Oreochromis niloticus: one gene and its partners. The protein of the gene in region 1 interacts with the protein of each later gene in a biochemical or structural test. Links are inferred from orthologs where the notes say so. Each region holds a gene or a part of one and is shown on either strand. Other genes may lie near its edges.

What was found.
Region 2: of the proteins of ikbkb (region 1) and cops5, one has a biochemical effect on the other in vitro, tested with the Homo sapiens proteins (2 studies listed by BioGRID). The link is inferred for Oreochromis niloticus from reciprocal best matches to the Homo sapiens genes IKBKB and COPS5.
Region 3: of the proteins of ikbkb (region 1) and tnfaip3, one has a biochemical effect on the other in vitro, tested with the Homo sapiens proteins (2 studies listed by BioGRID and IntAct). The link is inferred for Oreochromis niloticus from reciprocal best matches to the Homo sapiens genes IKBKB and TNFAIP3.
Region 4: of the proteins of ikbkb (region 1) and map3k14a, one has a biochemical effect on the other in vitro, tested with the Homo sapiens proteins (3 studies listed by BioGRID and IntAct, with this or other methods). The link is inferred for Oreochromis niloticus from reciprocal best matches to the Homo sapiens genes IKBKB and MAP3K14.

Annotation. Positions count from the first base shown.
Region 1 is NC_031977.2:25,966,308-25,973,706, reverse strand, and holds the start of ikbkb (inhibitor of nuclear factor kappa-B kinase subunit beta), read left to right. Parts: upstream 1-4,397; 5' UTR 4,398-4,578; intron 4,579-6,561; 5' UTR 6,562-6,578; coding exon 6,579-6,683; intron 6,684-7,399.
Region 2 is NC_031974.2:19,440,074-19,448,019, reverse strand, and holds the start of cops5 (COP9 signalosome complex subunit 5), read left to right. Parts: upstream 1-4,938; 5' UTR 4,939-5,114; coding exon 5,115-5,251; intron 5,252-5,506; coding exon 5,507-5,741; intron 5,742-6,476; coding exon 6,477-6,605; intron 6,606-7,007; coding exon 7,008-7,073; intron 7,074-7,319; coding exon 7,320-7,405; intron 7,406-7,545; coding exon 7,546-7,657; intron 7,658-7,946. Other genes in the region: cspp1a (centrosome and spindle pole-associated protein 1), read right to left, coding at 462-539, 657-1,000, 1,237-1,338, 1,879-1,959, 3,556-3,653, 3,768-3,813. UniProt on the Homo sapiens protein: Probable protease subunit of the COP9 signalosome complex (CSN), a complex involved in various cellular and developmental processes.
Region 3 is NC_031978.2:11,429,194-11,436,606, forward strand, and holds the start of tnfaip3 (tumor necrosis factor alpha-induced protein 3), read left to right. Parts: upstream 1-4,406; 5' UTR 4,407-4,666; intron 4,667-4,759; exon of another isoform or gene 4,760-4,966; intron 4,967-6,229; 5' UTR 6,230-6,328; coding exon 6,329-6,635; intron 6,636-7,413. UniProt on the Homo sapiens protein: Ubiquitin-editing enzyme that contains both ubiquitin ligase and deubiquitinase activities.
Region 4 is NC_031969.2:25,786,128-25,793,104, reverse strand, and holds the start of map3k14a (mitogen-activated protein kinase kinase kinase 14), read left to right. Parts: upstream 1-3,964; 5' UTR 3,965-4,106; coding exon 4,107-4,131; intron 4,132-4,194; exon of another isoform or gene 4,195-4,322; intron 4,323-5,596; coding exon 5,597-5,869; intron 5,870-5,952; coding exon 5,953-6,034; intron 6,035-6,149; coding exon 6,150-6,369; intron 6,370-6,630; coding exon 6,631-6,977.

The DNA of each region.
Region 1 (7,399 bases):
CTGCTCTCCACTCCGCTCTGCGTCACCTGGAGAATCCTGGGACATCAGTAAGGATGCTCTTCGTTGATTTCAGCTCGGCCTTCAATACTATCATCCCAGACATTCTTATAGACAAGCTGGTAAACTTGGACTTCCCCCCCCTCCACATGTGCATGGATCAAAAACTTCCTCAATTGCAATTATTTTGGTCCCAGTCTGTTTCAATGTTTCCTACACATACACCATGTATATAGTTCCACTCACATATGTATACATATACACTGCTTGTTATTCTATTCTATTCTATTTATTTATTTATTTTTATTTTTTCAGCCTTATTGTATATTGGTTTCTCTTCTTCTTATTTTAGCACCTTTGTGGTCCAGCTACCCAATTTCGCTGTGCAAGAAACTGCACAATGACAATAAAAAGCTCTAAGTCTCTAAGTCTAAGTCTAAGTCTAAAATGCGTGTGTAACAGAAAGAGAGAGACATATGCACGTTATAAATGTTTTTAAACATTTTTAATAGATAGATGACATATTTAAAGGATGTAAAGGATGTATGTTTACATACAGTGAATGCTATGCAAATGTGTTGCTACCGCATTTTTAGTCTATTTGTTGGAGTGCAACCAAACCGAACAAAAACTACTGAAGCTTTTAAGCAGACGTGTTAAGTGACAAAACCACTAGTAAACAGCTCGTTCTTCACACAGTAGGTCACCTCTGGGAGGCTGTGATGGGTTGTGGGTGGTACTATATCACTGTGGCTAACCACCTGGCACCAGGAGCCCTTTGTTACAACCACAGGCCCCCTTTATTCAACCCATCCCTTCCTCAGGAAATCAATCATTTAGCCTGAAAAGTGGTTCCATGTCATTTTCAGAACACTTAAGGTTTTTATTTTCTTGGAATAATTCATGTTCATTGTTTTTATTGGCTGTTAAATCTACATTAAATTGCTGAAAATACAGCAATTTGGGGTGTAATGGCTTAGGGGGGAAGTTAGTTTGGCGTCTGTCCCACTTTGTCTCCATCTGTGTTGGATTACAATTAGCTTTCAAGTCTCGTTAAGGAAAATCACAAACAAAGACACACATTACATATAGAGAACACAATCTACTACAGATGAATCGGTCAGAAGTTACATCAGGTCATGTTACACCACAAGACTCTTATCTCCTTGAAATTCTTATAAATTACTATGAAACTGACCGATTAAGGCATTCTTCCTCTTTCGTGTTAAGTGATGAAAAAAAAATGTTCTTATTTTGTTTGTCCTTATTTACATTGTGCCATAAATGGTAAGGTATTTGTAAACCATGTAGAGTAATTGTAGCATCTGCACAAACCACTGTTTTAAACATTTTAGTTTGCTGTCTTAATGTGTGGGTAGATGTTTTTATAATTCCTGGAGCTCGGATGCTCCAAATCCACAATCAGGGTATCGAGTGTCACATAAAATGAATACGAGAAGGTTTCTCGGTGAAGTGTATGGGACACAGTTCACAGTTACTGATTTTCCCTGGCAGCAAACCTGAGATAGAGTGAAAAAGACGACTGTGCAAAACTTAATTTTATTTGCTTTTTAAAATAATCTGGGGCACTCTGTGCTGAGAGCAACCATCAGTTACAAAATTTTACTTTTAACTGATGGTTACAAATGTTATTACATTTTAGCAAATATTAAAGAATACAAAATATGACTTTGCACACATCAAAACTTACTTGCTATCAACTAGATATTACATTTTTCACTTGCCATGTTTTTTGTAAATATTAACCATGTACCTAAATTTTCTCTGACTTCCAGTGTTAGTAATTCAATAGTCAAGAAGTAATTTTAACAAGCTGAGGATACAGCTGTTTCTAAGCCCAGACAGACTTGCCTTAGTAAATGTAACTCATATAACAACTTGTTATAGCCAAGGTATGGTGAAGAACATCTCTGAACAGACAGCATGTCCATTCTGGAAGCAGATGGGCTACAGACTTTTCTGTCAACAACAACAAAGCATGGATCCATACCACCTTATATAAAGGTTGTATCAAGGGCTAGTGGTTATATATATAGTGTGATGATATTAGTACCACCCAAACATCATTTAAATGCCACACCTTACTGAGTTTTGCTGCTGACCATGCACAGTCCTTTAAGTGTGTACCCAGCTCCTGCTGGGTCTGTCCACAATGATAATATACTATGTCACAAAGGTCAGATGATCTCAAAAGTGACATGACAACAAGCTCTCTGTACTCAAATGGCCTCCACAGGCATCAGATCTCAGTCCAACAGAACACCTTTGGGATGTGGTCGAGATTCTCATCATTGATATGCAGCCAACAAATCTGAAGCAACTGTGTGGTGCTATCATGTCAGTATGGACCAAAATCTCCGAGGAACATTTCCAGCACCTTGTTGAATCCATGAACAATTGAGACAGTTGAGTTCTGACCACAAATTTGTCCAGTAAGTAGCTTAAGTTATTTAGCTTAGCTTGAGGCTAAGCTAGCTAGTGGCAAGCTTGGTTAAACGTTTCAAGAAAAAGTTTCAAGAATGGGATTTAGACAATAAAATATATAAAAGATCAATTCAACCATTTATATTTTTAAACATATATTTGTGTATTTGGTATGACAGTTGGCTTTAAAACACAGAGTACAGCTGAAACCGACTGCTGAAAGAAACAGTAATAATATATTACTGAAATCTACATTCAAGCCACTATCACAGGCTGTGCTTACATGACTAAATGTAGCTAAATAACTCAACAAAATTCTTTCATTACAAGTTCCATTGGTTCATTAAGCCTTTTTGTATTATCCTCACTACAGCAGAGGTAGCAGCATCGTAATATGTTAGTTTAAACAGGAACAATTTTTATAAACACTTCCAATCTGATAAGTGAGCCATACCCACCTAAAGCTCACGTCAGAAAAAAACAGATATATTTTACCAAGTAACTCAAGGGGATGTTTGGTTTCTATATTAAGGGTCGGTTTTCACATTACTCCATGCAAAAACAACAGGTGATTAAACAGAAAAAAAAACATCATTGGTATACTCTGGAAACTCTGAAGTGCATCTTCTCCAAATATAACACCCGTTATATCAACAATGATGTTGCAAAGTCAGAACATCTGAAACACTGAGATGAACACTTTAACAGACGTCAACAAGCTGATTTTAACTGATCTAAAAATATCCAACTTTACGATAGTAGGCCTGCCCCGACTGGAGCAACCCAAAAATACTAAAACCTGTAGTCTTATTGATATTAACTGTTTTTAAATGATCTATATATTCTGTTTTGTTCTGTGATTAAACTGGGCCCTGTATTGCTATTAATTATTTTGTTGTAATTATTCTTAGTTTAGTTTTGTCGCTTTATGTCTGTAAAAGGCGCTTTATGTATAAATATTACTTTTTCTGTAATTTTTTTACTGCACAGAATCTGAGCATCTGGATTTGATTAAAGCTCTACAAGGGCAAGATCCAGACAGAAAAGAAACCAATGAAACTAAAGAGGGGCAGCCAAGAAGGAGACATGCAGTAGGTTAATATGAGCTGTCAGGTCGTGATGCAGATGAGAGGGGAGAGTCAAGCAGTTTGGGAAGTTTGATTCTACAATAATGCTGCTGTACCCTTAGCAGTGATATCATATATACATTCATGCAGTGGTTCAGTGTTTACTGCCTCACAACAAGAATGTCCTGTATTTGAAACCGGGTCGTTCTTCTTGTGTCAGCGTGGGTTTCTCCCACACTCCAAAGACATGCACAGAGTTAAGTTAATCAGCAATTCTAAATAGAGCGCAGGTGTGAATGTGAATGTAATAGCCCTGACAGATCCAGGTGTACTTATTTCTTGAATTATGACAGCTGGGATGGCCTCGCCCACAAGAAAAGATGGCCATTGTTTTTGAAAGCATTTGATCAGCAAGATTATTTTCCAGAAAGATGAGCAAGGTCACATTCTTCCTCGATGACCCCGTATTTCATTTTTCTAGTTAAAGAGAGACACTGAAGTGACCTTTGTGGGTATGACTGTTTGGACGCCACATTGCTACTGTAGAAAGACACAAATGATGCCACATTATTAATGTACATGACGGAATATGATTTAAGAGTTACGATAATTCGTCACTTAAACATTTAAACTAACTTTTAAACTAAAATAATCAATTTTTTAAAAATGTAATAAGTTTTTTTTTCTATTGATGTAGTATTTGTTTCTAAATTGAGTGACTTTCTACAATTATGATATGGGTTTCTTAATTTAATTTGGGGGAATTAAAGAAAATTTCCGTTTAGTCGTGATTAAACTCATAATGTATGGTTTAAAAGTGCATAAACCTACCAGCAGGACATAATCCGAGGACTTTCCCTACAAGTGGGCGGGTCTGTTTCTTCGTCAGGTTAACAGGAAATATCAGTATCAGGAAGTTGAGTGTTTGGAGATTTGTTGTGTCGCCAAATGTGCTGCAGTAGTTTTTATTAAAGTTTTACTCATTGAAAGCTCGGATACACACAGTAAACCTGCCGTTTAAACACAAAAAAGGCGTGAAAACGCGTGAACGCTGCGTGTGGAGTCTAAGGTAGGACTTAGGAGTTGAAATGTTGACGCTTTTCTCCTTGAAAATAAAACCCGAAGACTAGTTCCAGCTCATTTTATATGAACAAAGAAGTACAAAAGAAAAGTACATTTTTGTGTGTCGGTGAATAATATTTTTATAATGAGTAAAAGGTTGGCGGTATATTTACTGTAAGTCAGTCTATGAAGCTTAAAACGAAACCCCTCAAGCATGTAGCGCCCCTGTAGTGTTTAATGGGCCTCTTAATAGTCTGCGACTATATGACAGCTAGTTTTCTTTATATACACGTAGCGGGCTTTTTTTTAATAAGCTGGACTCGCCTATAGGAATGTTTATATGTATGTTTAGTCTCTTTTATTGCAGCTGCTGTAAAACATAAACTCAGTGTTTATGTAGTTTCACAGTTTGGAGAGCTTTTATCTCATCCATCAGACCCCTACAGTCACATTTATAACAATACTGATAATACAATAAATTCCCAATTAGATTTTTTTTTTTCATTTTTTATAATAGGTTAATTAGCTTATGGGAATTCATACAGCTTTTTGTTACTTTTTTTTGCTTTCTAGAAGCCACCAACACTGTTGTTTCTGTTTCTGTATACACGTGTTATCACCTACAGGACAAACACAGCATTTCTTTTCTTACTTTCCCTGACCAATAGGCAAGTTACTCATTTTTACCAAATTAATGTTTTACTCTTGGACATTTTACTCTTACTCTTTGGACATTCGCTGCTTTTTCTCTCATTTTTAGTCTAGTCCTTGTACCTGATCATTTTCAGGGGAATGTTTGGTTTGTTAAGCCACTTAACAGTGGCCTATGAATCATTCAAAAAGGCACCTAACCCAGAAATGAGCCAGTGTTTTGTTTACATATAACATAGCAAAGAACTAACTTAAAATTGTATATTCAGACGCTAAAGGTCTTTTGCAAAAACACATTTGTTCCCATTCCTTTAGATGAATTTACAAACAAAACAAAAACAAGGGCATAAATGTTGGGGATAAAATGTTTATATAATGTTTTTGCATCAACCAAGTGATTCCCAAACACCGATCAGTCAAACGGTTGGCATATTCTGGCATAGTGTGCAGTGTGTTTGAGGAAACTGGACAAGTGGAAGGCAAAAGATGAAGTTGCAAGACTAAAACTCATGTTCTTAGAAATGGGAAATAGTCCAGCAAAGACCTGACACAGAAGCTGCGAGATGCATCCTGACCTTCAGTCGATCCACCTAATGTTCACTGACGCCTCATCAGAAATGGTCTCAGTGGAAGCGTGGCTATTCTTAAGGAAGGGAAATGGGGAGAAAAGGCCAACACGAGAACTGAACTGAAAAGTTAGTGGCAACAGCTCTGACGGAGTGATGAACCAGACCTGAAAATTCTAGTTCCAGTCGTCGTATTGAGTGTCTACAGCCATCTATAAAACACGGTGGAGAGTCAGTCATGGTTCTGGGCTGCATTTAATGGAATTATGAACACAGACAAGTACTGTCAGACTTTGAGCCATCACACTGTACCATCTGGAAAGAATCTAATTGTCTATGGCTTCGTTTCTTTCAGTAATCCCAAACAGTGCTAATGCAGGAAAGACAGACCTGGGTAGAAAAACACAAGATAGGAAGCTTTCAAGATTGTTAGAATCGTAGAAACTGTTATGTTATTTTGTATCTCTATGTGTGTTTGCATGTTTCAATCAATCAATGCACCTATTATCAGTTTTGCTAGCAAAATATAAAAGGTTGACTCAAGACCTTTGCATGTTCCTGTACAAACCAGAAAACACTGTAGGTCTCAGAGCTGAGAAGCTTGAAACAAGGCTTTTTTTAGGCATTCGTTCAAGACGAAGCAGTTAGTTATTTGCTTGAGTACTGGTTGCATGCTCAGACAAATGCATACTCCCATGACATTTTTCAGGACAAACGCAACATTTTAGCCTTAGTAATGGGTCATGACGGATCCACTATTTTTGTTGTTTTAGGTGTAGGTGAGGAGGTCATGAATCGAGTACCCCTGCAGCAGCCGCAGAGCTGCGGGCCCTGGGAGCTGAAGGAGCGGCTCGGCACCGGGGGCTTTGGGAATGTCACAAGATGGCAAAACAAGGTATTCACTCCACATACTTCTAGCATATTGTTACATCTTTGAGAATCTTATATCTTTAGGACATAATAGACAGGAAAGAGGATGTTTGAATAACAAACTATTACACTGACAAGATAATTCAACATGTCCTGCTGGAGTTTCCGGGAAGCCATCGGCTCTTACCACTGCTGATCAAATTTTAAAGTTAAGGTTTTGTTTAGATGCAAATAGTCATTTTAAAATGGAATCAAAAATGAAACTTCACTTGTGTGTTTCCCTCTTTGTGTTTAGTAAAACTTTAAAATGAGGAAAACTTCCTCAACCTGCTGAGGCAAATCTTCCTTGTTCCTCCTACAGCGAAAGCTCATGTAAACAGTATAATGACCGTGGAGGTGGATTAGCTGTAGGGTACAAATTAAACTCATCTTTTAGCTAATGTTTGTTTGTATTTCACTAAGATGACACTCGTGGAATTGTGTGAAAGAATGTATAAACAGCTCTCACTGGATTATTTTGATACTACAGAACTCTTGAGGATAAAAATATTAGGTCCCCTATGAAATTCTAAGTATTTTAGTTTTTAAAAGAGTAAGTAATTTTTAAACTTGCTAGTTTTCTTCAGAAAGCATAATTTATTTCTATTTGAACAAAACAACTATTATTTCATTAAAAAAAACAATTTATCATGGTCCATATTGTTACCACCCTGAAAAACGTTTTAGCAAGCCATAGCACAA
Region 2 (7,946 bases), on another chromosome or scaffold:
TAACTCAGAGACAGAGAGCAAATTCTTGTGCTTCATCAATCCAGCTCTTCTAATAAACTCTAGGGTGAGCAATTGTTTGCCTGGAGAAGGGTCAAGGCTCACTCTCTATCACAGCACCACATGTTACCAGGTTACTGAGTGTAGTTCAGGAACAATGAAATGCAACAGCAGGCAAAAGAAGTGCTGAAGAGCAATAGCTGAATATGGCAGCAGATACCAGTATAATTAATTATGGTACTGATGGTATTGATTCTGAAAATTTATGAGACTTTCCAGGGGGATGTTATTGGCTGCCCACGTCTGCACGTGAACACTGTTTCATCATTATAAATCACACTGCTGCAAAACCAGTCGCCCAGGGCAAAGCATCTGTAAGCTAACATTATTCCTAGTGTACAGTTAGGAGCTGAGATCATTAACAACTTTCTAGAAGCAGGGCTCAAAAAAATAAACTTGCTTACTCTGACTTCAAAATTGTATCATTGGTCTTCTGATCAGAAACTGTAGAAGCCGCTGTCTCCTTTATGTCCTGAGAAGCCCTGCCATAGAAACAGACAGGACAGTGAAATTTGGCAGAGGAGCAATCTGATCTCATTTATATGGTAATGGATGAAACTACCAGTAATTCAAATCATTTTCCAGAAAAAAATGGATACTTCTTCACTCTGCACTCTTGCGCTGTCATCTCCTCTTTGTACTCAGGCTCTTGAGTGTGCCTGTCCTTCCTCCTCCTGTATCTCAAATCAAACTCATCCCCTCTGTCAGTGTTTAGCTCGTCTTCAGAGCTGTAGGGCTCGGCTCTGTGGATTTGCCAGCGTCTTCGCCGCCTCTGAACTTGATTCCCGATTTCTCCATCGTTGAACACCTCGGTCAGAGTGGAAGCATCTTTCCTCTCGTTGTGAATGGGGACTATGTTTGTGTGGGTATGCTTGTGATGGGATGACAGGGGGGAGGCAGGGGGAGAAATTTTCAAGCCATCTGAAGCCTGAATCTGTCCACGCTGAGAATGAAAATGTGAGGAAGAAATTCAATGTGAAAAAAGATTTACTTTGTAACAGAGTGCTTTTCATTATTTATCTTTCAAGTACTCAGTGAGCTGTAGCTACCTGATAAATGGAGGCATTTCTAGTGATAGAGAATCCTTTAAAGTGTGGTATAAAAATTGCATGGATTATTGCACCAAACACACTAGTGTTATTGTGCACGATCTGCCTATTGAGTCATCAATCTTCTTACCTTGGGACTGACAGAAGATGTTCTCCTCTTTAGCGTTCTGATTTGAGCTTGTTCTTGGAGGAAGAGGTTGTATTCTTTATTTCTCTCCTCTCTCAGTTTTTCCTGCAAGAGAAAACAAAAAGTCAGAGACAAGCAGCCACACCGCTCAGTTAAGCTCATATGACACTTATAATTTAAGAAAATACAAAACTCAAACAATACCATCTTCTATCCAAAGAAGATACATATTCTGCATGCACACATTCAAGATGAAGATGAGGTTAAGGTTATATTATTTCTGAAGGAGCTGGGAATCAAAACAATAAACCTATAAATAATTTCCAATAGGCATTATCACTCAGACTAAGCACTCTCATGATAGCTTAGATGGATGCTTCAAAATCCTACAATAATGGAGTTTTGGGGATTTTTTATTTTGCCTCAATATTTCAAAAATGCTTGCATCAATACTGATTAACATTCAGCTTGTCGTGCACATATAGACACCTGAAATTGCTCTTAACTTTTGTTTGTAAGTTCACGGTTTTATACAAAGAAAATCAGCTGCCATGAAGCGCGCAGCACTGTGCAGTCAGCAGTTTATATCAGTTCTAGCTGAAGAGCTAAAGCTCTACTTTGATGACCGAACGAATGCAGGCACACCTTTACAGATATCCTCTCATCAATCGGTAGTGACACTCCATGAAGTTGTTGTTGAGGCTGTCTACTTTTCAGATCCGTTTTCTGCAGGAAGAATAAGAGATTTGCTGTGTGTCGGCAAATGCAACACAGAGACAACTTAGTTAAACACAGACATAAACTCACCAGCCACTTTGTTAGGTACACCTGTTCAGCTGCTCATTAATACAAATACCAAATCAGCCAATCACATGGCGGCAGCTCATTGCATTTGGGCATGTAGACACGGTGAAGACGATCACCTGAAGCTCAAATCAAGCATCAGAATGGGGAAGGAAGGTAATCTAAGCAACTTGGCATGGTTGCCGGTGCCAGATGGACTGGTCTGAGTATTTCAGAAACTGCTGATCTACTGGGATTTTCCCACACAACCATCTCTGGAATTACAGAGAACAGTCTGAATCCAGGGAACAGTAGTTCTCTGGGTGAAAATGTCTTGTTGATGCCAAAGGTGAGATAAGGGAAGAATAGCAATGATTGCTTCAAACTCATAGGAAACAAACAGTAACTCAAATAACCCTTTGTTATAACCAAGGTATGCAGGAGAGCATCTGTGAACCTTGAAGTGGATAAGCTAAAGCAGATAGTGGTGGTGTAATGGTGTATGAGATGTTTTCTTGGCAAACTTTGGGCCCTTTAGTACCAACTGATGATACTACATATATACAGCCTACATGATTATTGTTGCTGACCATGGCAATCGTTGTGTGACCACAGTATATCCATCTTCCGATCGCTGATTTCAGCAGGAAAATACTCCACCATGTCATAAGCCAAAATCTTGTTCAATCTATGCCACTTAGATTGGCAAAATGGGTCTAATGTGGCGTTAGGAAGGTATACCTAATAAAGTGGCTGGTGAATGTATTTTCGTAACCATTTCTGATATGTCATTCCAGATAAAAACTTCTCGTGTTCCAGTCAATTTTAAGATTAACATTTAAGATTTATTAAGTCTTAAATGTAACACTAATGAAAAAGAAATGTCTAAAATGCACATTTAGGTGTTTTATTCCATTCTGTCAATTGGATATGTATGCAAATTAGCACGTGTTTAATCAGACACCAAATCTTTTAAATAATTCAGCACAGGCTTCAAAAAAATTGCAGTACATAAAATAATTATCTTTCTCATAATTTTCACTTCGGTGGCACTTACATTAAGCAAAGATTTCCAGTTTTATTTAACTTGATATTCTGACTTTAGATTAATTATTTTTCATATACTGTTTAGTCTACTATTTAACAATCTATTACAACAGTGAATGAAAATAACTCAGTAAAAGGTTTTTATTCTAATGCCTTTGTGTGGTGCTCTGTTGTTTATTTCTGTTTTTTTATATTGAGATCGCTTGTTTTGTTTTGGGTTTTTTTTGTTTTTTTTAAACATTTTTTTTAACTGTACAACTTTTACCTCACTAAGCCAGTTTGTCTTGGCATGTTTTTTTTTTTTTTTTTTTTAAATTTTATTTTTAATAAGCTATTCTGATTTATTTAAGACCTTTTCTTATAGGTTATATATAATATTATGCCTGATGTAACAGTAAATTCCTATTGTTTGGGCTAAATTAACTATATATTATATATTATTTTATGTTCAGATTTTAATTTTATTTATTTATTTATTTTGCGTCATCACACCCTGGATATATAGTTTCTGTAGTCCAGCTGGAGCTCCTGCTGAAGTTTCTGCTTCTTCCTTTCATACTCGGTACCCAGCAGATGACTTAAGCCAATACCTGGGAAATACGGCATATATAGAGTAGACTGTGCAATAAAAACAGGAAACTATTCACTAAACACTACAGGCTTAAATAATGCAGCCAATTCACTACTACAGCCTTGTACAGTACCTCTGTCGGGATTGGGGTTTACTCCTAGAGCTGCTGCTGAAGTCATATTTACAGCATTGTGTAATTTGCACCATCTGACCCTGACTGTGGAGAAAAACTCGCTGAAACACCGATTTGTTTATTAACAAGCAACATGTGATTAAAAGAATTGCTTTTTTTTTTTTTTTTTTACTCACCGGTTGATTAGTTTACGCCTATAAACGTTGCTTCGCAAGTCCTTGATCACATATGGCGGGGAGTTTTCTCTTCATGCTTCTCAAAAAAACGTCCCATCGTGATACACAATACACCCAATAAGGCAAACATTGGACTTACAATGGGGTATATAAACATGCGTGTCTATTTTAAGGCTCGGCTGTAACTCTGGCTAGACAAATAAGAAGCCCAAATAAGATGATATATATCAATAATTCTTAAATTTCCACACACAGCTCAAATCTATCCGACCGATCTTTGACAGCGAGCTAAGCCCAAAGCGTCATTCCGTTGCCATGGGCAACCATGACACAAACCTTCTCCTGGGAGAGGCTAGCAAACACATCTAACACAAACATTCAAGAAAATATATCTAATATAGTCCAAATATTAAGTCTTTAATAACTGCAATATTTAACACTAGGATCTGATTTGCTGTTTCTTTTTAATCGTCTTTAAACAACATAAAACCAGGCAAAGTTTATCAACAACATGTTAATAAACTTAACATACTGCTGTTGTCTAAAAATGATACCATCTAGCCTTAACCAGCAGCCCTTTCGGCTATTTAGTAGCTCTTTAACTTACTAGCTGCTGCCTTTTTCCAGAATAGTATTGCCTAATTAATGAATACTAGCTTTAGTTTTATTGACTCATTAAAAACCTCAGCTCCCAGTATAAGTACAATGCCGAGGCTCTAAGAAAAAAGCCCTCACAGATAGATGTAGGTACCTTTCTAAAAAGCGCCGCTAGATGTCAGTGCGTCCCCAGCGGTTAGTTTGACGTCGTCGCAGGACTAAACCATGGCTTCCGTCACAGGGGTAAATATATTTTAATAAGAGTAATAAATACGATAAAAATATGATCAGTGAATGTAATATCATCATATATCATTGTGTTGTAGTGTTAAGAGATGGCTTATAACAAATAAACGCATCAGTGGTAAATATGTGTAATATGAAGACGAACGTCCCCGTCGATTTCACTTTGTTGCGTTGGTATCGCTCACTGTCATGGCTCCTTGAGCGAGTGGCTATCTGCTCCTAAAACGATATCAAAATCTTTCGGGGAGAAATACAGCACTTCTTCCCTTATTTAAAGAAAAAATCGGGGTTTTTGACGGCTCGGGTTTTGCTTGGATACATTATTAACATGGCGGGGAGCAATACGGCTCAGAAAACATGGGAGCTGTCTAACAGCATGCAGGAAGTTCAGAGCATTGATGAAATTTACAAATATGACAAAAAGCAACAACAAGAAATCCTCGCTGCGAAGCCATGGACGAAAGAGTGGGTGCAAAACGACATTGTGGTATTTAGGTTTCTGTCTAAGTATTTAGGTGATTGCTGAGCTGGCGTATTCGTATTACATGTTGTTCGTTGATAGTTTATTGTTAGAACATTAGTGATAGCTTAGCTACAAACTAGCAAACCGGTCTTTATGTCAGTAGCAGTACAGCAAACTGGATGTGTATCTACAATATACGCATTGCTTAATATTATCTAACATCAATGCAAATACATTTGTCATTGTTCACCCTTTAGTCACCACTACTTCAAGTACTGCAAAATCTCAGCTTTGGCCCTGTTGAAGATGGTAATGCATGCCAGGTCTGGAGGAAACCTGGAGGTGATGGGCCTCATGCTGGGAAAGGTGGACGGTGAAACCATGATCATCATGGACAGCTTTGCTTTGCCCGTGGAGGGCACAGAGACCAGAGTCAACGCCCAGGCGGCAGCCTATGAATACATGGCTGCCTATATTGAAAATGCCAAACAGGTGGGACATTGACTTCCACACACATGAAGAGCATCGTGTTTGAGTTATGACTTAGAAAGAAGGAACCGAACTATAGCCTAGATAAAATCAGACTTGATTTCGCTTGAGACATTAACTTAATACTTTCTGTGAATGTCACTGGTTTACAACCATTACTTTTTCTTTTTTTTTTACTTAAAGAAGAGTGTTTCAGCTGATTTAGAACTGTTTTTTTTTTTTTTACTTAATATCAATATGATATTTACAAACTATAAAGGGATTATTTGAAGCCATTACTGTCTTTTTATAGTATTAATATTTTGACAGCCGTATATAACCACATTTGTCTGCCTTTTCCCATGCTGGGTATACGATCACTTACCTCTAACTCATTTTCAAGCACGTTATTGTAGTTAATGTTGCAACCCAAGAAGCAGGAATACAGTATGAATATATTATAAGGCTAATAGGATTTGCACTCTTTTATATTATCTAGAAATCATTGTAAATTTTTGTGTAAATTGTACTATGTAATGAGGTTTCTCCAGTCCCTGTTTAACATACTCTATCCAATACTCTAATGAATTCAAGTGACTACACAAATGTGGAGATTTTTCTTAAAAGAAAAAAGAAAGATAGGAAAATGCTACTTTAGATAAGGATAAAAACTGTAAACTGTGTCAAATACATTAATGTTATTGACATCTTACACTGTCATAAAGAAAATATGATTTTATATTATCTATAATTCCTCAGGTTGGCCGGCTGGAGAATGCGATAGGCTGGTACCACAGTCACCCGGGCTATGGATGCTGGCTGTCAGGCATAGATGTCAGCACCCAGATGCTCAACCAACAGTTTCAGGAGCCTTTTGTGGCTGTTGTGGTAAGATGGGAAATAGTAACCATTTTTATTTTGAAACTAATGGTTTTTGTATTTTTTTAACTGTGACTTCTATTTTCCCACTTTTCAAATGGAGCTTATCCCATATCCCACGTCCCATTAATGTGGGTGTAACTGAGAAGGGGGGAAGATTACTGATGGATGAGTTGTAGATTTGCACGTAGTACTGATGAATATTTTGCTATTACAACCACATATGCTATTTACACTTCATTTGGTTTAGCGGCGCTTAAATGCCAGAGGCATCATGTAATTAAGTGTGTATTTTCAGCACACTGACAGCCCCAGTAAAAAGGCTCCTGGTGGCCACATTTGAGTCGTCCCCAGAGGTTTGTGTGACCCCTGACTCTGTTTTCCTGTTCTACTGTATCTTGCTTCCTATAGATTGATCCCACTCGGACTATTTCTGCAGGGAAAGTCAACCTCGGTGCCTTCAGAACCTACCCGAAGGTAAAGCAAAGACTTTATATAGCAGCAGTCCTCTTTGGTCTTTACTAAAATCACAAAATATCTGCTTTTTTATTCTTCTTGTGCATAGCTATATTTGATCATTTTAGTAGTTTTTATATACTGATGTTATTGTTGTGTATTTATTAAGAATATATTTATAAATTTATTTTCAGTCACTCTGTATTCTTAATTCCTTATTACTGTAGTAATTGCTAGGTTCTTAGTATTTCCTTTTTGGATTTTTAGGGTTACAAACCCCCTGATGAGGGACCCTCAGAATATCAGACTATCCCCCTGAACAAGATTGAAGACTTTGGTGTACACTGTAAACAGTGAGTATTTATATTTGCTACAGTATTGTACCGGATCAAATACTTGTGTAGCATGTACTGTATCACACATTTTTCACTGTTTACTTTATTTTCAGTACTTGCATATGCGCTTCTTTTTTCTCTGTCTCTCTCCTTTTTAGGTATTACGCTTTGGAGGTTACTTACTTTAAGTCCTCCCTTGATAGAAAGCTCCTGGAACTCCTTTGGAATAAATATTGGGTTAATACCTTAAGTTCTTCAAGTCTCCTCACGGTATGTAGGGCATTTCAAAAATCAAAATGTTTGCTATTTGTTTGACATTTTGATTTATGGTTAATTATTACTCTATAACTCATTTAGACATGTGGTCACCAGCTTGTGATGTCATGATTTATTGCTGCTTATTAGCTAAGCGTCCGTGTTTGTTGATTTTAGTAATAAGCTGTACGTGAACTTTTTTCACAATGGAGATAAGTATTAAAGCTGGAGCCGACTCCATGATGCTCCTTTTCCCCCTTGCTGTTCGTTCGAAAGCCTGAAAGCCCCTCATGTAAATTTGCAT
Region 3 (7,413 bases), on another chromosome or scaffold:
ATGCAGCATATGCAGTGCAAGTAAGTGCAGCAGCAGCACGGACTTGCTGCCAGCTAAGATCAAAAAGTGGATGCTACATTTTAAAGTAAAGGTTACTATCAAAGTCTCAGTGAGTCAGATTTCTACTTCATGTTAGCAACTGTTGCTTCCTTTAGAGCATCAACAAAATCCCCTAATATGCAAGGTTTCATTAGACTGCCAAGGAATATAATGCACACTAGCAATATTTATTTGAATTGGATCATTTTTATGTTTTTTTAATTTGAAGAAAGGATGAAATCTTTGCAGACCCCTCTGTCTGCATGTTCATGGGTTTCAAAAAGCTGTTCAACTTTTGTGTTTCAAGATGGCAACATTGTAGGATGTATTCAAGACCTTTACCTCTGCAAAAAAAACAAAAAAAGTCCTGCATTGAAGAAGTTGCTCAATTAAAAGTAAGTAACCATCATGTTTGTAGAGGCTAAAAGTGTCAATCTGACATCTACTTTTTTAGTAAGTTATTGTTGCAGATGCATTTATTTGTCAGCAATATTTTACTGCTGTAGCCAATCAGGTTAGAGCTTACTGCACTGCATACTGCAAGTACTTTCATATCATTTTATTTTATCAATGCAAAATATTTGTGTCCTTAGATTTTTTGAAAAGCATTGTACATATCTAAATTATTATTATATTTATTGCTTTAATTGTTTTTAAAAGACCCCTCGTATGTTAATTATTTAAAGAAAATATTAACAATAAATGTAGCGAAGAAAAGTGTCAAAATAAATGAAAATATGGTACTGTGCAATAATCTTGAGTCCCCCTGAATTTTTATATTTTGCTTCCAAGGAAAGGCTAAACTTGTGTGTAATATTTTAAAAGCAGTCTTAAGCAATAGCTCTCCAGACTTTCTGCAGATCTTTCAAAGGTTTTTTGATTTGTTGTTGTTTTGTTTTTTTACTTTTTTCACTCATTTTCAGTCCAGTCCTTGTACCTGTCTATTTTAAGAAAAGAATATTTGGGGGGGTTGTTGTTTTTTTAAGCACTGACCTATGAATTATTCAACTATAGAGGGATGAAGCAGTGTTCTGTCTACACATAACAGACAACTTAACAAAGACCCCATTATAAAATGCATCTCCTGGAACTTTGCTACTAGCAGCCTGTCACAAAAACACATTTGTTCCTATTCTATATATTTAAAAAAAATGCTAACAATAACAAAGCTTGACAGACATAAAATTGTATTTTTGCACCAACAATGGGATTCCCAAAGAACTATTAGCCAAAAACTTGCCCCATCTCTGCATGGTGTGCAGCATGTCCTCAAAAAATGTAACTAAACTGAAAAACTATTCAGTTTTGAGAAGAATGTTATAAAAGTATGCACTACTGTGGAATCCTTTGACCTTTTCTTGACAGACATAAATCCTTCCAGACGTTATGAGGAAATGCGGACTGCATAAATAGCAGTACAGCGGTCAGGTGGTTTTATTAAAGTATCATCTGCTGGTCTAATATAGGTCATTTAATGAGGGAAAAGTTCAGCATTGATATGAGACAATAGTGGTGGCGGTGGTGACTAAAAGAGGATTGCTCATACTGGTGATTTGAAACAGCGGAGTGGGCCAGTTGTCCCTTCTGGGGTTTTCCATGTGCTGATGACTATGCTGCTTAGCTTTCACCACTTCCACAGCCGGCTAGTATTGATTATTGACTTCCAGCCAATGACTCAGCCAGCATGTGACTCAGTAAGGAACTTTTAAAAAGTTTGGAAACTGAAATCTTTAGCTTTATCTACAATAGCCCCCTCAGCAGCATTCAGTCAAAACAGACCAGAGTTAGATGGGTTTTTCTTAAGTGCCCACTTACTCAATCAAAGGCATTTTTGAGGTCAGTCAAAGTGACTTTATAGATGTTCATTTTGACAGCCGGTGCGTGCAAAGCATTACCTCAGGGGCAACGGCTTGAAACTTCGAAAGGTAAGACTGATTCACAGAGCTCATTCCTCGTGAATGCTGTCAGGTGTTTGTTTTTTTTAACAGTTTCTTTCCCCGAGTAGGTAGAAAACTGAAATGTAGTTTCTACTGTTGGGGCAGCTCAACACAGCAGTAGGAGTCTTTCCACAGGTAGGAGAAAGGAAATAGAAAGTGAGGACCAGCACAGGATAACAACAGCAAGATTAAGACGAACTATCTTCTTTCACAGCGGTAAAGTGGATATTTGTCCACAGTGGAAAAATATAGAATAAAGTTTTACCTCAGCTTCAGGGCTACTCTACATTTACGGGAATCCTGCCCTTATACCCTTATATAATAAACAATAAACATGTTTGTCAGGATGTCAAATTCTTGTTAACGCTACTTTCACTTACTGTGACTCTGGCTGGATTAATCCTCTTTTGAAATCTTTCTGGTCTTTCTAATGGTTGATTCAGCACTGAAAAGATGAGATTATAAATTATCTATCACTTAACTGAGAACAAATTTACAGACTGACATTAATTTGCGACAGTTCTGTCGTAACTGTGCTCTGCTTCTCGGCCCGTGACAGCTGGGATTTGGACCGAATACTCGTATTTGCACGTCGTGCAAAAAATACTATTTGTACTTGGTTATTTTTTCTGATTTATCTATTTTATGACACTGAAAATTAGGGGTGGGAATCACAGATTGGGTCATGGCACATTACTCTAATCTTAAGTGGCCCAGGACAGCGCCATACGCGACACAGTTTAAATGTGCATGTGAAAAAAAGTATATTTTATATTTGTGTCTCTGTGTGTGTGATCCATATTTTTAAACACAACAAAACAAAATCCCAAATATATTAATTGAATATAAGCAATTCTGATTTTATGCTTCAAAAGGAGTAGAGAGAAGTATAAACGTATACAATCCTACCGCTCCTTCCTGTCTAATGACTTAGTCAACTTCAGTTTTCCTTTAATTTATAAATGCAAGAAGTCAAGAAGACTTTAACTTAAACTGACAAGTTAATCAAAAATGAAATCAGGGGGTGTATGCATGTTTTAATAAAAAAAAAAAAAAAAAAAATTGGCCCCGGTGTGTTTTATAGTAAGTCGATGCAAAGCAATATGTCGCTCTTTAACTATTTGGTCCCAGTAGTACTGCAACTTGAATTTATGTTTTGTTTTTGATTGACTTAAGGAAATCAAACTATCTAAAAACTTTGCTTTTGTAACCTGAAGCATGCGGGCTTTTCCAACCTTTGTATTTCACCTCCTCCTGCTAAATGCTAAACTGAAACTTTATTTGTGTTGGAACACACCCATCACACAAAGGCTAAAAATATTTGTCTCTTTATGTCATCTAAATGTGTCACACCTCTTTTTCGCGTGCATTATGCTATCACATGCAACTCCAGCAAGTTGCATGTGTTAGCATAATGCATAATTTAAGCAAACGCTACACTTGGAAATAAAACATAAAGCTCTGACTACTTTTCCGTTGCAGCTTCTGAATGGTAGACCGCAGTAAAACAGTTAAGCATGCTCTGCCACATACTAGAAGCTCAGACAAGATAATAAAACTTGTCAACCACAACAAACCACAGGTGCACAAAAGACTTGTGACTTGACTGTTGTAATGATTTAGCCGCCTTGACAGCCACAGTCAGGTGGGTTGCTGGATGATGGAAGATGCACACTTTTCTTGGTACACTCGAGCAAAGATCATCTGTTGATGTTTAGTATTGAACTCACATGAAAATGAGAGGCACAATTTCACCAAGTGTCAGTTTACGTTTCCATTAGGTGGAGACATATGGAGGGAGGTTAAGAGGCTTCCTTTAAAAGGAAACCTATTTTTGTTTTGTGATTTCGGTGGGAAGAGCTAGAAACTTTTGCCAAAATAAAAGAAAACTTCACTTTACATAAACATTGAGCCAACTTACTAATGTAGTGAATGAACCAGCGGGTTAGCAAAGAGCTCACATCTGCTTCTTAAATATCTTTGAGCAAGACAGGAATCCGAAGGAACCTGAAAGTCTTTAATTATATTTAGATGATTTGCTAACAATTAAAGCACCATCGCATCATTGCTGCAATAGCTAGTCATCAGACCATGAATACACATACGTATCAGTGCATGCAGTCAGCAACTCAAATCCATTTTACAACCAGGTAATGAGATTCGTTTTCCTTACTCATTTGCTGATACTGAAGGTTAATGATTTATTTTTTTAAGGCTGTCTCATGAAATAGAGTATGACGCGAACTGCCTCCCTCCCTCAGTGACGCTCCTTTGTGCTCAGTAGGTGGGATATGCTTTTCAGTATCGAGTCAGACAGATAGTAAAGACTCCCCTGGTGGCAGTGAGCTGCAACTACAGCGGTTGTGTGTGTGAGTGTGTGTGTGAGTGAGTGAGTGAGTGAGTGAGAGAGAGAGAGAGAGAGAGGAAAATGGGTGGACGGAAAGTCCCCGTGTGGAAATCCCCTTTGACTTGGACTTTTTCCTTGTTTTAAAAAAACTATCATTATCGTACGTGTGTATTCTTTTGAAAGGCTTCGCAGGCTGCGAGGGCTCCAAAATAGATCTGATACTGAAAGAAAGAGAAGGTTGAATGGCGCCGAGGACCGCTGCGGTGAGGCTGAGTGAAGTGGCTGAGAGAGGACTAGCCTGAGCATCCGGGAGGCTTTGTTATTACCCCGACATATTACACAGGTAAGACGCCAGCCTTCCCTCCTTGTGCCTCCCCATGTGGACACACATTTCTTAGCAATTGGGTGAGACTTGGTGGGTAAGACCACGTTTGGGCCTTGAGTAATGTATGGTCGTGTTTCTGGGGACACGGAGGAAGCTTGAAGCCTGCTCACGACAGTGGCTTTGACAGCCATTGTTTACAAAGACGTCACCCTCGAGCGGATAGCAGGACATTTAAACAGCCAAATGTGGCATCGGCGAGGCTACACTGTATCGATACCCGCGCTGTTAGACGCGATTGAACGCTACATTGTTCCAAAGGTAGTTGTCATTGGAATTACGTAAGCCTTTAACGTCAGCAAAGTCTCCTGTTATTGTGTTTTTGTGTAGCCAGCCATCCTAAACCGCAGCGTCCACCCGGGTGCTGCTGTCTGTCTGCCTTAAAGTGTGCCCCGCTGTGACAGCACGCCACGCTAATGATTCGTGTCAACATGCTCCCTGACATCCAGGTGTCTGTTGTCTGGTCCCTCATGTGACTGACTAGCCCTTTAGCACGGCCTAGTCTGTTGTTGCACCTGCTGCTGTTTGGGTAGTAAAGGCACAGAGGCCACTAGAAGCTCGCTGTTCAGGTGTTTGTGGACTCGAACAGCATCTTCCGACCTGACTGGCAGCTTGCGAGAGGTTGATAGAAGGATGTTGTGGGAAGTTTAAAAGTCAGCAAAACTCCAGGCCCACTTGCTGACCATTACTTTCTACTTCCTCTAAACTGCTAATGCGTCTTCACTGTGTTGAAATGTGAGGGGAAGTAGTCCTTTAAAACCTTCCCTTTAGCAAACTTGACTCAAATAGAGTATTGGGTATAGAGGTTGTGCATTGAACCTCAGTACCTTTATACTTAAAGTATAAAAACTGCCAAAAGTTTCCCTAATTTTCCTAGCTTTCAAATTACTATAACAATTTGGGGAACGTAGCTGAATTAAAGTTGTATTTTATTTAGGGGAAATAATTCTGCAGCTGCTTTTGTTTTAAATGACTTCAGGGAGTGACGTAAACCCACGTTAGATTATCTTCCTCCTGTACTGAGAACAGTGTTTGTGTCTGTACTGAAAGCCTATAATTTTTCTAATGATTCCCAGCCTTTTAAACGGAGACTTTAAGCAGGCTGTTGAGGGAGGAGGCCTTGTGACCTTCCCATCAGCCTGGGAAGCCCTGGGTGGCCTTCAGTTAAGGTCTGGAAAGCACCCATTTATTGTTGGAAGTCTTTGAGCTCAGTGGGACACTAGGAAGCCCTGTTGAGGGAAACTCTCAAAAACCATCAAGACAAAAAGGAGAATTAAAAGAACAAACAAGAATACAAAGGGGTCTTTGTGTACTTTATTCAGTTGGGCCCAGCAGAATCTCCAGGAAAAAGCACCATACAGCCTCCACACTGGAATCATCCTTTGTGATGGGTAGTTTCCCAAACAAACTGTAAATTAAGTTGTGCCTTAAGTCTTAATTTGTAAGGAAGGGGACTCTCCACTGAAAATTTCCCACAAATCCCTGCTGTGAAATAACATGTCCTCTCCGCTTCTCTCCATCCAGTTTCCACGTTGATCCGGCATCGGTGGTTGGTGCCTCCTCCTCCTCTCCTCCTTGCTCCTCTTCCTCCCTTCCTTCCATTCACCTGGCCAGCCATCCGCCATGTCGCAGGGTCAGAACTTCCTCCCCAAATTCCTGTTTGTCTCCAACCTGCTCAAGGCAGTGAAGATCCGACAGCGAGTGCCTAACGATGTGGTGAAGCCTGCTGCCAGCGGTGGCCTCATGCACCACCTGCGGGGTATGCACCGGTACACGCTGGAGATGATCGCCATGAACCACTTCCCCCAGGCCTTCAGGGAGGTGGTTCAGGCCGCCATCCTGGACCGAGCCATGCAGGCCTCATTAGAGAAGGAGAAGAAGCTCAACTGGTGTGGGGAGCTGAAGAAGATGGTGCCCTTACGCACCAATGGTAAGAACGATTATGCTGATGTTGAGGAGCTGTACTGGAATATGGAGGCTACAGTAAACCAGATTTCTGTGGTGGTCTTATAAGTGGATGAAGCTCCACGAAGCTTTGTTGACGTTCAAGGATGTTTTATATTATTGGTTGTGTAGCAGAGGGCACCGTAAATAACTGCTGTTGGAGCAGTAGGTGACATTCAACACAAATAGAACAATTCAGCAGATTGGCCACAGAGCTAATGCTGAACCATTTCTCCTTGATTTTAGAAGCAAAACTTATTGCGCTCAACACAGGATGTGTTTTGCTTTTGTTTCATTTTCTATGAGAGAGATGGTGAGCTCTTATGAGTCAGGGCTATTTGATATGCAAATTCTGAGATGTCATTACTCACAGGCAGGGTTACTGTAAATGACAACAATCGAGGGACGCGAGTTCCGCTTTCACATAGACTCATTTAGCAGCCCCCTTGGTTTTACTGTGTCGACCTTAGTGTTTGACTTTAGGCACCCCAGTGCTAAGTCATGTTTTCTGTTACGTGAATGTTGTAAGACGGGAACATCCCAGGGCAGGCAAACATGTAAACTCGGGCCTGATTACTTCTGATCATAGTTGTGTACTGGGAAATTCTCTGGCGTCACATGCAGGACTGTTATTTACTGTCTGTGATGTTTCAGACCCAACTATTTCCACAGTTTTTCATTTACTGCATTTGGGGTATGCCCCCTCTTTTTCTGTGTAGGTGTGTGTTAGTGAATGTCAGTGGATGTTAAAAAAAACACACCGT
Region 4 (6,977 bases), on another chromosome or scaffold:
CAGCTCCCCTTTCACGCTGCATGACCGCTTATCCTCTTGTCTTTAAATTAAAAACAGACGCATACATGAAGAGAGAGCATTTTGTCTTCAAATTAAAAGCACAACTATAACTTACAGCCACACGCAAACATTGTGCTCAGTCCGAGCAACATTTAAACATACTGTTACAGTCAGTGATTAATAATAGCGCAATATGTCTTTGCATTCTGGCGCTAAATGTTGTTATTGTAAAAATTAAGGGAACCCAAACACTACTTCGAAATTCAAGCGGAAACAGGAAAGAAGCTACATGATGTCAAGATCGCCATCGGCCGACGCCTAGTTACGGGAAATACGGTAAGTGAAGAATATATAGTATTTATCATAAACGGTTTAACGAAGTTAAGAGCTTTCTGACTTCAGTGTTTCCCGCTGTTTGTCGAGAACTCGATTTCTTGATTTACATGTTTGACTGTTTAACGAATAGTTCAAACATTTTGGGCCCAAGTTTTATGTGAAATGGCGGTGAATGTGGCTAGAAGGAAGTTGGTGCGCGTGCACACAATAACAGCGCGTGTATACACATGAAATTACTGTTTAGTCAAATTATGTTCATTTTTAAATGAATCGCTAAATAGTTAAACATCAAAGGTGTTATCAAAGGTAAATTGTTATAGAGGCTTACTGTAGATTTTACTGTACAGAATATAATTACCGTCGTACTGCTCATACTTCTCAGTGGTACCCTCATTTTATTTTTTATTTTTTGTCACAAAGGCTGTACTAACTCTAAACATGAATAGGTTGATGTTCTTACCTGGTAAAAAAATTTTTTTAAGAGCATATTAGTGATAGAAAAAAAACTTGCTATATTTGTTATAGGAGTCCTCATAAGAATAGCCGTTATGTATGTTATTATATGTTGTCGCAATATATGCAGTCATATATCTTTTTATGCTCTTATCTGTTTCATTTAAACATTAGAGCCCCCATGTAATCTTGATAGAGCTAAACAATTACATCTACCAGATGTAATTGTTTACATTAGTCACTCTTGGCAGGTCCTATTTTTCAGGTCCAAGTTATGCTGGGCCTCCATACCGCAACAATGCTTGCTAGATCTTTCTTGGCCCAGAGTCAAACTCCTGGCCTGCATTTACAAGCGAATCAGCACTAGTCCAGGTCCACCCTTAAACGAAAAACCTTTTGTTCCTCCTGTGCAAATATCCTGTTCTCATTTTCTTTGCAAGATAGCAGGAAAGTGCAAATATGACTGTATTAAGATGAGCTCACTATATAGAAAATGTATAGAAAGATTGCAGCTTAGTAGAACATTATTATAATATACATGCTTTTAGAGTTGTTGACTTTGGCCATGTTTAGTAAACTTATGTTGAATAGCATTGGGAAATGGAGGGGAATGTTTTTCTTGAGGTGTCAAATACGCATTTCTAATATTGATTCATGAGAAAACTGTTTTCCGAATTAATTTTAATTTGTCAAAGAACCCAGTAATGTTTACAGAAAAACTAGGATAACATTAATAACAATGGCTTAGCTCAGAATTTTCCTGGGTTATTATTCTTTTAAAATGCCAGGAGTTTATAGAACATCTCAGTTTAATGGAAATAATGTGCAGCAAAGAGAGGACTATGCATTCTTACTGTAACTGACTGTTTCTTCATTGAAGTTAATATTGAGGAAGTAACTAGAAAAAGGGAAGTTGTTAGACATTAGACAAGGGGTATGACTGAGTACTTGGAGATGCATTTAAATGTGTGCCTGCAGATGTTTTTTGCAACCTTGTGGATGTGTAGTTGAGGACTGGAATGCTTTCCTGAGAAGCAGCCACCGGTTCTCTTAAGGAACTCTTGCCTGTGTATTCTGAGTCCCTTTTAGCTGTCGTTACTAAAGGCTTTGGAATTTCATTAATCTCTGTGAGAGAAACAGAGCAGCAGAAGCTGTACAGTCACCAACTGTATGTTTTGTTACAGTTTAGTTAAAGATGTCCACAGCAAAGATCATTATGGATTAAAGTTTATAGTGTGCACTATTAGTTACATGTTTATTAGATATGTGTAGACATTTAGGGTGCAAAACTCCTCTAAAACATAATTGTTTAGGTTTCTGATGACACTGACAGGGAAGTGTAGGTTCAGTTTGCATGTAAATCAAAAGACTTTAGTTTTGATTACTTGACCTGCAAAATTAATTTGCAGAATTTGATAATCAGTCATTGCCATTTCTCCAGTTAGTAAAATGCCATGCTTGTCAGTGCAGAAAGTTGGAATAGAAGTTAAAAAATGACCTTAGAGTTGCACAGACTTCCTTTGCAAAAAGTGAAATATTCTCAGGACTGCATGAGCAATATATGGCAATAGTGAAGATCATTGGAGATTCATTTCAGGTATAGGGTTTCTAGAAATGATGTTTGGAATATGGTCAGAATTGGTGGTGTGCCCAAAGCTGAGACGTATAGCCCTATTCTTATCTGTTTTACAGTAGTACCAGGGAGCTGTCTTTTGGTCTGTCTGTTTCCAGATTCATTCACAGCTTAAAACAATTTGACCACAAATGAATGTAAATGAATTTTTGGACAAAAACCCAAAACAAAGCAGAATTTATGTCAAGCTTTTAATAATATGAAGAGGCAATTAAAAACATGAAATTTAAAAATCAAAACCAGCAAATTGCAAAGCAAACCCCCCCCCCAAAAAAAAACACCAAAAAAAACAAAAAAAACAAAACAAAACAAAAACACTGGTCACTGTGGTATATTAAAAGAAACCTTAAAATCTTGAACCTTGAACTAGTAACTTTTGACTGTTTTTTTGTCACACAGTTAATCTGTTGCACATAATGTTGTGGCTAAACTGACTAAATATTTCAGCTCTAGACAGAATGAGTAAATGAGAAAATGATTGGCAGATGAACTGATAATTGGTACTAATTGTTGCCATTTTTATGAGTCATAATATGTGAAGTTGGTGACTAATAGAGTACCAAAAACAAAATTCAAAATGCTTTGACTGTCTACAATGTCTGTACCTGTGTCCTCAAGCTTATGTCGGTTTAGCAGAGATATTGTTGTCATGACAAACAGTTTCCTTATCAGTAGGGGTGGAGTGAGCAACTTACATTGAGCTTTTCGATTATGGCATGTACCAGAACCTGTCAAGTGGTGTTCCGAGTTTCCTGTAGTGGTTTTTGTATGACTAAGTTGTTTTTCTGCTCAAGAGAAAAGCAAGTGAGATTATTTCAGATAGAGCCATCAGATTATTGACAGCTCATACGCTTGCCTCAGTCTAAACACTGTTTTCGGAAATAATTTTTCGCAAGAAGATGCTCATAATGTGAGTTTTCACACTGCCACATTTTCATAAAGAAAGAAACTCTTTGTTGTTTTAACAACAGGACATATAGTGGAGAATGTGGGCGTGTGACATGACATGTGACGTGCTCTTGAATGTTGGCTTGCTACAGGGCACGCACTTATTAGAATATCAGAGCAAATGAAAGGCCACAAATCCCTTCACATTTAGTGGTGTGAATGTGTACAGAAAGTTGACTATCCATTCCGGGTGATTATCAGACTACCTGGTTTAATGTGCACACAGAATTGAAATTGTTTTTCACCCAGTAAAGAAACTTTTTTTAACTGATTTTTCGCTTTTAAACAAATTTGAATTCAGTGCTCGGCTGTACTAATCATATCCTTTGCTTCTTCCTCACTAAAACCTTGTATCTTGATAGTCTGCAAAGATTGAAAGGGTTTAGATATTACCACTACTCTCATCACAGTTCATAGTTCACTTTTTTTTTGTCATCATACCCATAAGCAAACCTGTTATCCTTTAATTGGTAGTACTCAAGAGGGCAGAGTAAGTAAACCAGCCCTGTTAGAGGGAGCAGAAGGAGGGGGGAATATGGGGAAGTGTAGATGCATTTCCCATAAGTCATAGTCAGCCAGCTCCTCCCCCCAGTTGGCTGAAAGCCAGCATCAGGAGAGCAGAAAGCAGAGCAGCAGCAACTGAGCCGAGTCGTTACTGAAAAGTCGAACATGAAGGCACGCAAACGGAGCACCTAGTTCGTGTCGATGACAGGTTATTCAGAACAAATACTTGAGAATGCAGTTCAGACTGGCATCTATTGGTATGTCTGCCCGCTACGTCGGCTCACACATACAGAGTCTGTTTTTGTGCCTGTTTGTTGCAGTGGGGTTTTCTCTATTTCCTTTCCACGTAAATTCATTGGGGTGTGGTGGTGCAGCGTCTTAAGACGGAAGTGACAGTTGAGTTGCTTCGCTCTAGATAATCTTGCGGTGCATGAAGTCTGCGTACAAGGTAGTATCATTAATAAACTCAAACAGCTTTAACGTAATTTTGATTATGTTTTGATCTTATTTTTTGCTGTATTCTTACTTGTATCTGTACTTTATTGGTGTTGTCAGCAGCAAAAACATGCAGCGTGCATGTGATTGTTTTAGTCAAGAATTTAGGCTTAATCTTTATGTGAGAAGCTACTAGTGTAATGGACAAACTGACGCAACTAATTGCAACTGTAGTGCTCTAAATGTAGTTCTCAGTTTGTGCCTTTTAAACTGCATGTAGTTTTCCTGTGTTGGTTTTACAGTCTTACCTGTTGTGCTGGTAATAACTTTTAAGGTGTGAACAGGCAGCCATGCAAATCTTTATTTCAAATTAGTCCAGGCTGTGCAGCCCAGGCATTGCCTAGGTTACTTCCTCTGACTGAAACAGAGTGCATGCACTGAGCGACAGAGTTTGCAACTGTGAAAACAAGGCCGGGGTTTAATTTCCTGTCTCATCTGCCCACCTCAAATTTCACAGTTTCAGTTCATCTGCGCTCCTAAACATGTGTGGCGCAGTAAAATATGTTAAACTTCAAACGAGCCATAATGAAGCAGATCAAATTATTTTTGCGTTTATGCATGGGTGTATATTTCTGTCATAAACCTTTCATCTTCAGTCAGATTTATGAGCTTTTCTGTTGTGCTCGATTACAGCAGGCAAATGGCACTGTGGAAAGTATTTGCAAAGTGCGCCATAGATGCAAACTAAGAACGAAAAATTAAGAAAAAATGAACAAAAACAAACAGCAAAATGCAATGCAACCTTTAACCTGAGATGTGTTTAGTTTTCAGTATCCATTTGTTCCCCTTTTTAGGTATCCTCACTCCCACGCTCACATTAGCAGATAAAAGTCCTTTGTTACATTTTGGAGAAATGGTTTATGCTTATACAAACTTCACAACATTTCTAAAGGTCACTCTTGATGAGTCGCAGCAAGCATCTGACTAACTGAATAAATATGACGCACTGTGAGCTCTGAAGTAACATGTTCATCAAAATCGAAAGCTCAGTTTATAAAGGAGCCAAATATGTTGCCCTCGACCAAAGACAAATTCACTAATTAATATTTAAATAATAATACTAAAAAGTTACTTTTAACTCTCTGGTTATAGCCACACAAACAACCCAGGCGTCTATAACTAAAACCAAATTGATTAACTCTTATTTAAGATTAAAGACAAAACATAAAGGCAGGATACAGTTGATAAGGAAAATCGTTATTTATCAGCTGCTTGTGTCTCTTGCAGATTTAGAAGATAACATGGCGGTGAGACAGAGGCTCTTCAACTCAACAGCGCCTTTCACTGGACCACCAAAAGCTGACCTGAAGGGGACATATCCATCATGCTCCAATGCAGAGCAGGAGACTGAGGAGGCACAAGAGGAGGGGAAGGATGGCAAAATGGGATTTACGCAAAAGTGGTCTGCTGATAAACTCACTAAACTCCTGACACATGGAACTGCAGAACAAGTGGAAGAAATGCAGTTCAAGACCTCAACCATTGTTGCTCAGGCAGAATGTAAATATATCTTATTTTTATAGTGTATCACATCAATGAACTTTCCTGTGAGCCAATTTTACATTAACACTGTGCTCTTTTAGGTGAAACCCAGGACTCCCAGGAGTTTAGCCCTTCCTGTTATGAACGATCCTTCCGTGCCTTCCCTAAATGCTTGACCACCAGGTAAGATCTTGGGGACATTCTCCGCATTATAAATTAAATTTCTGTTCAAGGGTCTGTGCTGAATTGTGTAAACATGCCTTAAATTCCTTTTGCTTTCTTCGAATTTCTTTTGAAGTCTTTCATCTGACCAAAACAATGTGGCGTGCCAAACAATGGCCACCATCCAGGAAGCAAGCACATCAATACTCTCCCCAAGAAAGAGTACCCATAGGAGACAGAAACGTAAGGGGAAGAGGAAGAAGCAGCAGAAGAAGAAGGACAAGCAGCGACAGAGACGTCGAATGCCTTCTGGAGTGCCTGAACAAGAAAGTGGAAGTTCTTTGATCCCGATCCTGGTGAGGTTACTCTTCACATCTCTCTGAGTCTGAATATTTAGTATACTGTGCTGTTAAAAGAATTTAAATCATCTTCAACAATAGGGTCCTAATCTCTAGAAGTCCCCATGTAAACATTACCCTTCCTAAATTGTGGAAGTGAAACATTGAATTCCAACAGCCCCGCCTCTTTTGGCCTTGAATTTTTAAGCCTAGAGCAAATTTGGAGGATGTAAACACCATCTTGTCTAAAAACTTTTTTTCTTCTTCTTCTTCTTGTAGGAGGACTCTTCTGTTGAAGAGAGAAGCGATCTCAGTACCTCTTGCTGTAGCAGCTTTGAAAGCTCAGAGGAAGACGACCGAAGGGCTTCTTTTTACAGCCAACAAGTTTACAACAAAGGCTCAAGCTGTTCCCCTTTGAACTGGCCAGTTTTGGGTAACCTCTCCAGTGTTCGGTCATATGAGCACAACAGCAGCTCGGACTCTCTTAGCAGTGTGGGAGACTGCTCACTGGCCCTTGCTGGGCTCAGGGGCTGTGTCAGTCAGGGGGATCCATGCTATGCAGGGCCATTTTTCAAAGAAGTGGAGAGGGAGACTAGGGAAGACGAAGATGAGTTCTCGGAAGCTGA